2 linked regions of the Arabidopsis thaliana genome follow. The protein of the gene in region 1 purifies or fractionates together with the protein of each later gene. This does not show direct contact. Each region holds a gene or a part of one and is shown in the gene's direction. Other genes may lie near its edges.

Region 1 (7,619 bases):
GAAGGGAAGCACTTTATATTGATACGCAATCCCCTCAACATATTGGTAAGCTTCTCAAACTCACTTCTGGTGTTATGTTTTCGTGGAGATTCTTCTGGGTTGGTTTTGTCTTGACGTTTATGGGTCTGATCCTTTCTGGTTTGAGATGTTTCCTCTCTTTGCTTTCGTTTCTTTGTCTTTTCTTGCAGCCTTCTTTTGAGAAGATACACCCTTCATCGTTTCACGAATTGGGACTGGGAGAGTTAGTATCGATATACAGTGATCTCTGTCAGATGGGAACACCACCAGCAATCATCGATGCAGATGAGCTCCAGCGAGATCCCGAGGTTTCATTGCTATATTATGAAATTTTCACAAGGAAACCATTTCTTTTATGTAAGAAGATTCTTATGTTCTGTGCCATTCTTCTATTTTCAGGCTACACTACGCAGTCTTTGTGATGACTTAGAGATCCCCTTTCAAGCCTCTATGCTTAAGTAGACCCTCTATGCTCTAGTGATCTCTTCGATTTGACAGTTAATGGCAAAAGCAATGACTGTATCTTTATTGTTTGCGTTCTCTTAAAGATGGGAGGCTGGTCCTATACCAGAAGATGGACTTTGGGCTCCATGGTGGTACGAGACTCTTCATAAATCAACAGGGTTCTCGTCGCCCCAGAAGTACCCTCAGGTACAAGACCTGTTTTCGCTGCAATTTAAGATCCTGAAACTCAGACATCATTCAAACTACAATGTGTTTTGTTTTGCTTTCAGACTTTCCCTTTAATGCATTACGATTTGCTGGAGCAATGTTTACCGCTGTACAACATTCTGAGGTGCCACATGAAGCACAAGTCATCGCTCTTGTCCAGCACCTTACCTCCTCCCAGTCTCCCAGTTCCTGAAAATGCTAAACTTCTTGCTTGGGTTGGTGATGAGATTGTGCCACGAGAGATGGCGAAGGTGCTTGAGCCATACATGGATCTCTGTTTGTTATTTCTTGTTTATGCTTATGTTCTGATGTTATTTGTCTTTATTCTTGCTTAAGGTTTCTGTTTTTGACTCGGTCGTGCAAGGCGGTGACTCTGTATGGGAAGGTCTTCGTATATACAAAGGGAAAGTATTTAAGCTTGAAGAACATCTAGACCGGTAAGAAGCAAGTAAGAGAAAGTACTTCTTCGAATCATTCTTAGTAATATGTTGAAGTGTTGCATATAGGTTGTCTGATTCCGCAAAGGCTCTGGCTTTCAACAATGTCCCAACCCGCGAGGAGGTAAGTATATGATGAAGATAAAAATCATTGTCATTGTTTGGAATATGGGACTTTTCAATGAAGCTATCACAACTGAAAATGCACAGATAAAAGAAGCCATCTTCAGAACTCTCATAACCAATGGGATGTTTGACAATACACATATAAGATTGTCTCTAACTCGAGGCAAAAAGGTATTAATCACACTTTGACCAACTTCAAAGTAAATTATATGCAAGAAGATGCTTCTTTCTGTTTCCATTTCAATCATTTTAAACCTAAACAGCTATCAATTTTGTTTCTTTTAAGGTCACATCTGGAATGAGCCCTGCATTTAACCGTTATGGATGTACTTTGATCGGTAAAGTTTCAGATTTTTCTCTTGCAAGCATACAACTAAACTCTGTGGAATATGGTTTTTTGAGTATTATCGTTTTTCAAAATATTGTGTAGTGCTTGCTGAATGGAAGCCTCCGGTATATGACAATGATGGCGGAATTGTGCTGGTGACTGCAACTACACGCCGGAATTCACCCAACGTATAAAATTGCTCTCATTGTCTTGCATTTATATTTATTTGAGAAACACATTTGCTCAGAAGTGTTTTTGTCCATTGTTGTTTAATCTTCTTCTAAACTTTCTTTCCAGAATTTAGATTCCAAGATTCATCACAACAACCTCCTCAATAATATACTTGCAAAGGTACCATCCTTTGCCTGTCATCGAGTTGAATCCGTGATCATGTGTTATTAGGGACGTCATTGTGAGATGTTTTTATTGGTAATGACACAGATTGAAAGCAACAATGCCAACGTCGATGATGCAATCATGCTTGACAAGGATGGGTTTGTGTCTGAAACCAATGCAACCAACATTGTAAGATCCTCGGATTGAACATTTTTTACTCTCAAAGAACCGTACTGAATCTCTGTGTAGCATTTGGAAACTAACATGGTGGAGGAACTCTGTTGGTGCAGTTCATGGTGAAGAAAGACCGAGTACTCACTCCTCACGCAGATTATTGTCTCCCCGGCATTACTCGAGCTACTGTAAGAGAGAAGAAGATTCATATTCTTTCTGATAACATATTTCAGGACTATAACATGACCAGTCTTATTTTCTAATCCATGTCCAGGTGATGGAACTGGTGGTGAAAGAGAACTTTATCTTAGAAGAACGTAGAATCAGCTTGTCGGAATTCCATACAGCTGATGAGGTTTCCTCATCTTTTCCTTAATCTTAGAATCTCAAATGATCACTAACTAAGTGTTATCAATCCATATCAAAACTTTCTAGGTATGGACTACAGGAACTATGGGAGAACTCAGCCCGGTACATACTCAATCTCTATTTTACAATCAAGGAATATGAAAATCTCAATGTTTTGAGTGAAGATTTCCTTCTTGTGAAACACTTTCTGGTTGGTTTTTGTGCCGCTTATTTATCGAGGTTATTGGTTTTAGGTTGTGAAAATTGATGGGCGTGTGATCGGTGAAGGAAAAGTAGGACCGGTAACAAGAAGACTTCAAAATGCTTACAAGAAACTGACGGATGGTTCAGGTGTCCCAATACCTACTTACCAAGAAGTCAAGAACCTTGAACCATGTGTTTGATCGTAGAACACGAATGGTAAACCAGGCTTGTTAAATGTGTTCATCTAGATTCGTAAACTCTAACAAGAACGTTGAACAAAAGGAACCTTATTTTGGAAAAATGAAATCAACGTTAACATAATTTCATCATTGGTTTTTTATTTTTGAAGTACTGAAAAGGTTTTGTGATTGCAGGAAAAAAACATTGCATACGAGGAAAACGGCACGTATTTCAGAGGAAAGCTGTGGTGTTTTACGTTTTTGAATAGAAAGTGCGTGCTGTTTTAGCTCTCAAACTCTCTCATATTATGCTGTTGACCTGTTGTAGCCTGTGGGTCAATGTAATCACAGTTGGTCGCAAATCCAAGTCAAGTCAGGCTCTCTTGTTTGACTTTTCAATTTTTTTTTCCACAATAACGATAATGCTGATCAATAAACAAAACCATAATATCATCAATTTTTGCTTTGAGTTCTAGTATATATAAAAAACTATAAAGTCCTTAGTTTGGGTTGAGAAGCATAAATTTAAACCTCCCACAATGAATTTTTTAAATATGCATTAAAGGAGTTTGAATCCTGATAACATAACAACAGTGTAAATACCAAATACTAGACTACTATATGCTTTGATCTAAAAACATAAGAAAATAACATTATTAGTAAGTAAAGACACTTGGTTTAAGTAGTAAACTCCCTAATGGATCTAGTTTTTCACTTTCCATGTCATTTTCAAATATTATATCGACTAAAATAGGTGATAACAAAAAAGTAACTTATAGAGAGAAAAAAAAATTAGTTCATGTTGGAGACATAACTTTTGCTAATTTAAATCAAAGATCAAATGAATTTGGTTTGCTTTTGGGACTATAGTGACCACACATATAATAAATAGTGTGATTCCACGAGATTTGTTATTGGTTAAAAGGTAAAATTGAAAAATTGCAGATCATTTTGTCTTTGTGCAGATTGCCAATTTTTATTCCCAACGGATTGGATTTGCCAATTCAAAGTCAACAGAAATTGTAATTAAAAAAAAAAAGAAGCATATTTGAGTTAGTGATCAGGATAGACCTATGATGGCTAAAGACTTTCTAGAAGAATATGAATATCAAAGTAGTCGTCTATAAATGATGACGGCTAAGACTAGTAAACATAAATTTGTTAATTTTTTCAAGTAATTTTTTCTTCGTGTGATCACATATCATTAACATGTTCCAAATTCATGGTCCTCTTATCTTGAATAAGATTTTAGTATGTATTGTAAACTAGCTCAAAACATTAACATTTCTGTAATAAACGAATGAATGAAACTTGCCGGTGAAATAGTAAATTATAAAAAAGAGATATGAAAATGACCATTTTAGATGAAATAAAAGATACTTTTCATACATACATATACAGAGTTTAGGACCATTTCAACAACTTCTTCGAAGTCATCGAACTATTTTGATTTGTATGACTTTTCACTTCCATCTCCAATTGGAAACTTCTGACCGTCCACGTGGCATTCAATAAGTAACACATTTGCTTATGACATATCCCCTAACTTCCTCGCTTCTTCTCCACGACTTTTTCAAACTTTTCAAAACCTCCCTATAAACTTCAGATCCTTATTCCTCACAATATTAAACCAAAAAAAAAAACTAACTTTTTGGGACTCCAGAACTAATAATGGATCCCATAAAACACATCTCTTTACCAGTTCTTGTCTTGTTTCTACTATTATCCGTGTCGGCGGGTCAACCCGGAACCCCGGACCAGAGACATGACCCGTATGCTTACAGCGGCAGTCTAAGTCCAGCCATGGCTGTTGTCGTTGTAGTTGTCATCGCAGCTCTCTTCTTCATGGGCTTCTTCACCGTCTATATACGTCACTGTACTGGCGCAGTAGACGGTAGCGTTACTCCTGCAGGAGGAGCTAGGAGGAGAGTGACGAACGCAACGGTTGCGCGTGGGTTAGACGCGGAGACGATCGAGACGTTTCCGACTTTTGTTTACTCAGAAGTGAAGACACAGAAGATTGGTAAAGGAGCGTTGGAGTGTGCGATTTGTTTGAATGAGTTTGAAGACGATGAAACGCTGCGTCTGTTGCCTAAATGTGATCACGTGTTTCATCCTCATTGTATCGGCGCGTGGCTTCAAGGTCACGTGACTTGTCCGGTTTGTCGGACTAATCTTGCTGAACAGACGCCTGAACCGGAAGTGGTGGTGGAAACCGATCTTGAGGCGCAGCAGCAATCGGCGGTTCCTGTACCGGTGGTGGAACTTCCACGTGTTAAATTCCCGAGGTCGCATACGACAGGGCATTCGGTGGTTTTACCGGGAGAGAGTACCGACCGGTTTACGCTTAGAGTACCGGAAGAATTAAGGAAGAAGATAATGGCGAATTGGAAATTGAACCGGTCGAATAGTGTTTTTGTTTTACCGAGAGGAGGAAGCTCGAGGAGTGGTAAACAGGTTGACCGGTCGAGGGCTAAATCGGACCGGTGGTTGTTCCGTAAAACTCCGTCGTTTCTATGGAGGAACCGGGATGATGGTTCGATTAGGCTAGGTGGTACCGGTAGTGTTAGAGGAAATTCAGTAACAAGTCCGAGCGGTGACTCGGTACGAGCAGACCGGTGGGCTTTTCTTAGAAACCCATCGTTTCTCTGGAGGAATACGACGCCGGTTCCTTCGCCGAGAGTTGAAGTCAATAATAAGGACGGTGAAGGAACATCGTCAGTTCAACATATCGGTACAGTTGGTTCAACTAGCGGTTCCCTTAGGCTACCGGTTTAGTGTTCGGTGATGTTTTGTGCATTGTTCATAAACACGCAATAGATTTTACGTAATTCTTTAATTTTGTTTGTCTTTTTCTGTAAGATATTTAAATCGACAATCCAACGGAAAAAGGAGATTGTTTTACTTAATTTATTTTATACTCTTCAAAAGTCAAACAAAGAACGAACTGGAGATTGGTCTTGTTCTTAAAAAAAAAAAAAGTCTTGTTCGTCGACCAAAGAATACATGGAACTGGAAGATAGAGACTACAACATTATTTTATAGCGGTAATGGAATGTATTATCTAGTTCTGAATTCATGTGTTTATTTCTCGATGAATACGATGAACGACTAAAAAAAGAGAGGAACTATATAACAAACAAATTTGTTACCAATTAATGATTGTTTTTTTTTTGGGGAAATACAACGTTTTTTTTTTCTCAAGTAGTATTGTTGTCGGACCAAAACAAAAATTTGTACTAATATATGAATCAAGTAGATAAGAACAATGTATCAAATTAAAATTTCAGATAACAGTTTCCACAGTTAATCATTTGAGCGTCAAAAAAAGTAATATCATTTGAACATTGAAGCACGAGGTACTTTACTTTCAGAGCTGAGACTAAAGATAGTTCGAGAAGATCTTATTTTAATACTTGGAAGTTGGAAATACGGAAATGAAATCATATACATTAAAATATAAAACATAGTTACTTCATCAGATAGACCACGACTAAGTCGTTTCGATACGGATTGGAAGATTACTTGTTCAACAATTTGAATAGTTACGTAGAAAGTTGCCATCATTCAAATTTTATTCTAGAAACATAAAAATGTAAAAATTACCAAACACACAATATAGCCGTTGTTGTCTACAATATGATGATGGTACCATTGTTTATTTGTTTTTATATAACTGCATACGAGATGTTGGAAAATGTTTACATATATTTTAGTTAGTTAGTTTAAATAATAATAAAATAATTTGTACTTTTTATTTAATTTACTCTATTTTTTAATAATTTTATGTTTTTTGTTTATTTTATGTGACATTCGATCTACGTCCGTAATCAGATTGAGAATACAAGAACGTCTCATACCTCAGAAAAAATTTATAGTTCTGCATTTTGCTTTTTTTTTGCGAGAGTCGGCGGCATCTCTGTCACACTGAACAGTAAAGAGAAAAATATATTTAGGATTTATTTTAATCGTGTATTTATACTGTGTTTTTTGGGCTGGGTCTTAAACAAATCTGCCCAAAAAATATATATATATATATATTTTATTTTATCTCTTGTGAAAATATGTAAACAATTTATTCTTTTTGTGCTGAATGATTAATAAGTGAATGCAAGGTTCCAAGTTTAAGAAAATATATACTCGATTTGATCCGACGAAATCATATGGAATTGCGAGCAATACATTTATCAAGGTTTTAAAAATTGAGATTTCAAAATAACGCTTTTGTTATTATAACGACAAACAAAATAAACCATATTTCTTATAGAAAAAAAATAGTTCGTTCTAAATTTGTACATGACTCAATATCTTATTTTTTAAATCCCATATAGTATCAAAAAGTATTAAATTATTAATGCACACAAAGTCACAATCAATGATTTATATTAAATAAAATTGCATTGACTAACTATTTGGAATAAATCATGGATTATGTATACTGTATAGTATATAATTCGTATGCACACAATCCATGATTTATGTTTTAAAAGACATATGAACACAATCCATATCTCTGTGTACAATCTAACTTTTCGAAATAAATCTAAACAAAAATTGAATAGTTTATAATTTCAAAGTTTGCAATTCAAATCCAACATAAAATAATATTAATCAAAATAATTAAGTAGAAACAATTTTGATTGGTTTTATGCTTAGTTTTACTAACTTTGCCATTACGACCAACAATTTTTCACTAACAATCGGTTTGGTGACAGAACCGATTAATAACTTTGCCATTACGGCCAACAATTTTTCACTAACAATCGGTTTGGAGACAGAACCGATCAATAATTTTCT
Region 2 (7,566 bases), on another chromosome or scaffold:
TCATGGAAATTGCAGAGAAATCAACCTACATTTGACTCAGACATTTTGAAGTTTTTTTGGCTAAGCTTTTAAAAGGAACCAATTACTTTCAGTTTCAGCTTAACATGATATAGTTATACAATTTGGCCCATATAAGTCCTACAAGTTAGACCCACCATGACTTGAGGAGATTTTTAAGTTGTGGTCTACCTCTACTAGAGAGATATAGATACTTGTTAATGAATTTGATAATTTACTGTTTGGAAAGGTTTATATCTAATTTAACAAAAAAACAAAGCATTGAAAGGTCCATGCCATTGTCATCTTTTAATCTCTGTTTGGGATCTTTGTGGAAAAACCTAGAGTACAAAATGGGGCAAATTATCAAAACAAAACAAAAAAGGTTTGAAGAAGAAATATCTGATGATTAGGACTTAAGCATGTATTAGAAAACTCTTGCCTTAACAAACTGATAATGATAAAAGAGATAATCTGAATCCTAAATGTCAATGAAACTATCCAACCGGACAATAATCATTGCAAAGCTACCATCTATAGTAATTTTCATGTAATTTTCTGGTTTTGATATTTTCCTGAATTGGAGTAAATATTCAAATTAAACAATGAACTTCTATAACCAAGTCTCTCCATTAGAGACTAGTAGTACATTTTCTTGGTGTTTTCTCATATGATGAAGTCAGTCGTCGTCCAAAGTTTTCTCAACTAAATGATGTTAAACAATCAATCTGACACATCTTTGTATCACCACATGTTATCGTCTCCCTATACTTATTTAGCTAATCTGCTTTATCTATAAAGCAATCTTGTAATTGTCAAGTTTGATATTTTGCTCTAACATGCTTCTTTTCAAGAGATACGTATAATCGAATCATAACTTAAAACAATTTAAGTACTTATCGGATTCCTAATCTCTTCTTCCACCTTAATAATACAGCTCGAAACTTTATACAAAATACGAAAAACGGTGTAACAAATCATGTATGAATATTGATTAGATTAATGATTCTGTTATGCGATTGAACTACAATAACAGATTCAATATAGCAGACTTTTCCAAAAATTGATGACAAATAAACGATCATGACTCAAAAGAAATTGCTCAAACTGTTATGATTAAGAACACATGGATTCATCAGTTACATGAAATGGATTGAAATCAGTAAATCTCTTTAATCTGATAAAACCCTAATTTTACAAACCCTCTTTGGATGTGGTTGCAGTAGCGGCGGTGTCGAAGTCATCGGGGTCTTTGGTTGGGTCAGATTTGTCGATTGAGGAGCGGAATTTATCGAGGAAAGGCTTGAAAGCGATCTCTATGGCTAACCATCCTAACGCCATCGCTGCGACCACCACAGTCGCCTGTTTCGCTCCCGAAGTTTTTCCCATCGCTGCGTCGTCGTCTTGTTCGCGTGTCGGTGGTATCAACCGATGGTTTAAGATCGGGAGATGGGTTTTACTAGGATGTTTAAAATGGGCCGGTTTGGGCTTCTCATTGGATAAAGATAGTTTGTTTGTTAAACTATGGCCCAACTTTTTATCCGTCTATTGGTTAATTAATACAAACTTTTTATATAATTGTAAATATAATTGAAAGGATCCCTATTTTATTTTCTTGGGAATATATATATGGAAAAAAACAATCAATAGAATTAGATAAATAGTTCAATATATCAACAATTTCTTTTTTGTTAGGATAAGGAACTTTTACCTTTTTTCTAATATAGTTACAAATTGTGTTTTTTTTTTTCTTAATTTATTATCAAATTTCTTTTTTACTTATATATAACCTCCTTTTTCATATAGAGTTATTAACTTTTTCATTTTCTCAGTAAATGTATTAACAAATTTAGACTTAATACATGAAGACATCTAATATTTTTATTGATATGTGTCGTGAACTCGTGACATGTTAGTTAGTAATTTTTATAAAAAAAATTTAGATAGGTTAAAATTATTTGATATGTGTAGGGGTGTCAATGGGTCAAAATTTATTGGTCAACTCAACTCAACCCATAAACCCTAATGAGTTGAAAATTTTGACTCAAATGAGTTGATGGGTCAAATGAGTTGATGAGTCAATTGGTTTGATGAGTAAAATGAGTTGGGTTGTAATGATTAATGGTTTCAATGGTTTACCCAATTAACCCATCAAGTTTTGTAAAATTGAATTAAACCAACTAAAATTTCTAAATCAATGTCAATTTAAGTCTAACCAACACATCTAAACCAATTTAATAAAATTAATATTTTTCCAAATTTCTTAAATATACATGCGATGAAATTGAGAAAAAGTAAACTCGTAAATTTTCCACCAAAAAACATAAACCCGTGATTTTCCCGCCAAAAACGTAAATCCGTGATTTTCTCGCCAAAAACGTAAACCCGTGATTTTTCCGCCAAAAACGTAAACCCCTGATTTTTCCGCCAAAAACGTAAACCAGAGATTTTCCCGCCAAAAACGTAAATCCATAATTTCCCGCCAAAAACGGAAACCCGTAATTTTTCCGCCAAAAACGTAAACCCATAATTTTTTTCCAAAAACGTAAACCCGTGATTTTCCCACCAAAAACGTAAACCCGTGATTTTCCCGCCAAAAACGTAAACCCGAGATTTTTCCGCCAAAAACATAAACCCGTGGTTTTCCCGCCAAAAACGTAAACTCGTAATTTTGACGCTAAAAACGTAAACTCGTAATTTTCTCGCCAAAAAACGTAAACTCGTAATTTTTCCACCAAAAACGTAAACCCGTGATTTTCCCACCAAAAACGTAAACCCGTGATTTTCCCACCAAAAACGTAAACCCGTGATTTTCCCACCAAAAACGTAAACCCAAGATTTTCCCATAAAAAACGTAAACCCATAAAAAGTAGAATCCGTAAATATCCTAAGTTTGATGATAATGAATTAATAATGATAATTATTTATTATTATTTTATAATAGTAATTAAGTAAATTATTAATTAAATGGGTTAACCCATTTAACAACTCAACCCATCAAATTAAATGAGTTATGAGTTGACCCAACCCATTTAACAAAATGAGTTGAGTTAACACATAACTCATTTAACTCTAAACTCATTTGATTATGAGTTGGGTTGAGTTGGGTTACCCATTTTGACACCTCTAAATATGTGTCTCTAGCCTCTACTATTTTTAAAAACTAAATTTTATATAATAAATTTTTTTATCTTAATAATAACCAAGTTGAACATATTTTAGTTCTAAAATTAACTACTCGGTTTAATATTAAACTTTAGACCAGGACATGCCGGATAACATGGTCTTAGTGTTGTCGTACGTCACCATTAGAGTTTCAATTTGCATAATACAAGGTGGTTGACCCAATAAAAGAAATTTGATTCAATTTCGATATAAACAGGTTTGTTTTGGTTCAGTTTTACCTATTACTTTTTATTTTGTCCAATCCCAAAACTATTATTTCAAAGACAAATTGGAGAAGAAACAAAAAAAAACTAATGGTTGGACAAAAGATTATTATATATCAATTTCACCACAAAAAACTTAGCATTAAAATATTCGAAATGGACAGCGACGAATTCAAACCTTCGTGTTAATTGTCTCCGGCGACTATGAATTCTAAAATCTTCCACTTTGCCTAAAATATCAATACATCACATTCATCCTAGCCTTATCCACTCTTTCTTGGAAATTCTGGTCTGGTTTCCCTTCAGCAATTCAATTAACTTCATCAAACCGACCGGTTCAAACAATCATCTAGAAATTCTATTTTATTGTTAGACTAGATCATGAAATTTTGACCGAGTCAGCACACATAAAATCTGGTACTTGACGTGGTTTAGTTAACCCAACAAAGTTGTTTTGGTTAAACGGATTTATTGACAAACGTGTTTCGGTTCACTCACTAAAAAACCCGGTTAGGTAGATACTACTTCATTGACAACAAACGAAGCATCCTTTAATTTCAAAACCGCGTTTTAATCAGACTTTTCCTTTTTTATTTTCAGTTCTAATGTTTAAAACTTTCCTTTTCTTTTTCTCCATATTTGACTCGTCAATATAAATACAATTGTAACAAACAGATTTTGATCAAAAGATTTTACTTTTCTCAATTCCTTTCAACTTTCAAAATCGAAGATCTCTTAAGCCATGAACGATCTTCTCTCCGGCTCGTTTAAAACCTCCGTCGCGGACGGTTCATCGCCGCCGCACTCACACAACATCGAGATGTCAAAAGCGAAAGTCTCCGGCGGAAGTTGCCACGGTGGTAACAACCTAGACACGTTCTTCCTCGACGTGGAGGTTGTAAACGAAGACCTTAAAGAGCTAGATCGTCTCTGTCACAACCTCCGATCGAGCAACGAACAGAGCAAGACGCTTCATAACGCTAACGCGGTGAAGGAGCTGAAGAAGAAGATGGACGCTGACGTCACTGCTGCGCTTAAGACGGCGAGGCGCTTGAAAGGAAACCTCGAGGCTTTAGATCGGGCTAATGAAGTCAACCGAAGTTTACCGGAAAGTGGACCGGGTTCGTCGTCGGACCGGCAAAGAACTTCGGTGGTTAACGGGTTGAGGAAGAAGCTGAAGGATGAGATGGAAAAATTTAGTCGAGTGAGAGAAACGATCACGAATGAGTACAAAGAGACGGTTGGGAGAATGTGCTTCACCGTCACCGGCGAATATCCCGACGAAGCTACCCTCGAGCGTCTCATCTCCACAGGTAATAATTTTTTCCAATTCTTTCTTAACAATTTTTTTGGTCAATTTCAAAATTCAAATTCTAAACGTTAAAGAGCAAGAAAATAGCGCAAGTTGTTAAACCTTTTTAAGAAATTGTTAGTTTATAATTTGGTTAAATCATGATATTGATATAAATTGGAATTATATTGTAGGTGAAAGTGAAACATTTTTGCAGAAAGCGATTCAAGAACAAGGTCGTGGTAGGATTTTGGACACTATTAACGAGATACAGGAGAGGCACGACGCAGTGAAAGATATTGAGAAGAGTTTGAATGAGTTGCACCAAGTGTTTCTTGATATGGCTGTGTTGGTTGAGCATCAGGGTGCACAGCTTGATGACATTGAAGGCAACGTCAAACGAGCTAACTCGCTTGTTCGGTCTGGTGCGGACCGGCTTGTTAAGGCACGGTTTTATCAGAAGAACACACGGAAGTGGACTTGCTTTGCCATTTTGCTATTGCTCATTATTGTGGTTTTAATTGTGGTGTTTACTGTTAAGCCTTGGGAGAGTAATGGTGGGGGAGGTGGAGGTGCACCTCGTCAAGCTACTCCGGTTCAAGCTCAGCCACCGCCACCTCCGGCTGTGAATCGGCGGCTACTACGCTAAATAATTTTTTTTTTGAGGTTCCCTCTGTCTATGCATGAGCATATCTATGTTTTGAAGATTGTTTTTTATTTTACAGTATTTTGTCTTTAATGTTTTTGTAATGTTTTGGTTGGTTAAACTCTGTGTATATATAATGCGATCACCACATTTCTTTGTTTTATTATGGAACGATTTGCTTATTTTTTACAATCGACTTAAGTTAATTTGACCGTCTATGATATTATTATTCGGAGAGATCTATCAAAATCGATGGTCAAAATGAATTTCCAGAGAATATGGAAATTAAAAAAATTGAAATATATATCAAATATTATCATACTTAAGTATAGATTATTTACAGTTATCTCTATAGTATTATTTACATTTATATTTATTTTAAATTATGAAACTTAGATTAATTTGTTCTCTATATAAATAATTTAGACAATTATTCTTATGGGAGTCTTTTTTTTTTTTTCACTGAAATGTTGCCTTTCATTGATACCAAATTCTTATGGGAGTCTAACAGTAATTATTCATAAATACTTTTATCTTCGTACTCCCATAATTTATCGAACCATATTGGGCCGTGGGAAAAGCCGATTAGTCATACAAAGCGTAAGAAAAAAAAAAGTTTCATTGTGTTGTGCCATTGTTTCACTTTCTCTCGCAATGGCGTCATTGAAGATGATAGGCAAGTCAAAATTAGGAATCACTCAAAATAAATTTCTTCGATTGATTCTCTTTTTTCTAATGTACAAGATTCTGTGTAACTCAACTGTTGTTTCTTTTGCTTTTCTTTTGATGTGTTTGTGTAAGATCAGACATAGCCGTTAACTTCACAGGTTAGTTGAGGCATTTCCACAAACACTTTGTGAACATGTCCTTCTCTGATCAATTTATTGCACAGACCATATTAATTCTTTAGTCTAATTGAAACAGATGGGATGTTCAAAGGACTTTACCATGGCAAGAACTGTCATGTTCCGGATATTGCCACTGTCTTGAACCGGGCTTGGTCTGCTGGAGTCGATAGAATCATAGTTGAGTCACTCCTTATTGATTCTTTTTGTTTGAATGATTACAAGTGATAGACTTTGAGTAATTCAGATTCCAATTTTCCTGAATAGGTAACTGGTGGGTCATTGGAAGAATCAAGAGAAGCTCTTGCAATTGCAGAGACTGATGGTTTGTTTGTTTTATAGATCTTTTTTTCAGAAAGTTTTTAGTCTTTTAGAAGTTTTTGATTGATGTACATTTTTTGCAGGTAGGCTGTTTTGCACTGTTGGTGTTCATCCAACTAGATGCAATGTCAGTTTTTTTGCTTTACATACTCGAGAGTTTCTTGAAATCTAAATTATAATCTTCTGTTTGGATTGTTCTTTAATGTTATGTTTTGTTGTTTATCCATTAGGAGTTTGAAGAGAGTGGTGATCCGGAGAAGCATTACCAGGCTCTTTTTTCATTAGCCAAAGAAGGAATGCAGAAAGGGAAGGTGCTATTTCTTCTGCTCTAGTAGATACTTTGAATTGCTTTAGTATCGCTTTCGTGTTGATCGTAATCAAAACCATTCACTGAACACTCTTGTACTTTATGATCGATTTAGGTGGTAGCAATTGGTGAATGTGGATTGGATTATGACAGGCTTCAATTTTGCTCAGTTGATATCCAGAAGAAGTAAGTTTGATCATAAAAAGTTTCATGTTTACATTGTTTTCTTCTATTTGAAATATCTTCCTATGTTTTCTTTGTTGAGAAAGGTATTTTGAGAAGCAATTTGAACTAGCATATGCTACAAAGTTGCCAATGTTCCTACACATGCGAGCAGCTGCTGAAGATTTCTGTGAAATTGTTGAGAGAAACAAGAATAGGTGAACATGCAGGCTAATGATTTTTCGAGTTGTGTTTAGATAAACTTCCTGGATTGATTTTTTAGTCATCTTAATCCCATGATTCACTTTCAGGTTCACTGGAGGAGTTGCTCATTCATTTACTGGTAGTGCGTCGGACCGCGATAAGCTTCTCTCTTTCGATAAAATGTACCTTGGTAAAGACTTCCACTTTTTTTCTATTAGAGACTATGCCTGTAGGCTTTAACTCGCCTAGGCGTTTGTAGGATCAGATTTGGTCAGAATATCTTGAATTACTGTTCTGGTCTTTTGTTTTGCTGATGTGTATTCTATCTGCAGGTGTGAACGGGTGCTCGTTGAAAACAGCTGAGAATCTTGAGGTAATGAAAGGAATACCAGTAGAGAGAATGA

The links. The genes of interacting proteins can lie anywhere in the genome.
Region 2: the proteins of CNI1 (region 1) and SYP122 purify together in Arabidopsis thaliana (affinity purification with western blotting, with the first as the bait; one study listed by BioGRID). This does not show direct contact.

Annotation. Positions count from the first base shown.
Region 1 is NC_003076.8:9,679,626-9,687,244, forward strand, and holds CNI1 (carbon/nitrogen insensitive 1), read left to right. Parts: upstream 1-4,362; 5' UTR 4,363-4,493; coding exon 4,494-5,600; 3' UTR 5,601-6,117; downstream 6,118-7,619. Other genes in the region: AT5G27410 (D-aminoacid aminotransferase-like PLP-dependent enzymes superfamily protein), read left to right, coding at 1-45, 189-326, 418-476, 567-669, 753-941, 1,027-1,127, 1,197-1,251, 1,338-1,424 and 8 more. UniProt on the Arabidopsis thaliana protein: E3 ubiquitin-protein ligase that is required for the plant C/N response during seedling growth transition. May be involved in the early steps of the plant defense signaling pathway.
Region 2 is NC_003074.8:19,423,595-19,431,160, reverse strand, and holds SYP122 (syntaxin of plants 122), read left to right. Parts: upstream 1-3,930; 5' UTR 3,931-4,128; coding exon 4,129-4,699; intron 4,700-4,871; coding exon 4,872-5,326; 3' UTR 5,327-5,529; downstream 5,530-7,566. Other genes in the region: OEP7 (outer envelope membrane protein 7), read right to left, coding at 1,192-1,386; AT3G52390 (TatD related DNase), read left to right, coding at 5,978-6,003, 6,125-6,150, 6,248-6,348, 6,436-6,493, 6,573-6,616, 6,720-6,800, 6,912-6,982, 7,066-7,176 and 2 more. UniProt on the Arabidopsis thaliana protein: Vesicle trafficking protein that functions in the secretory pathway.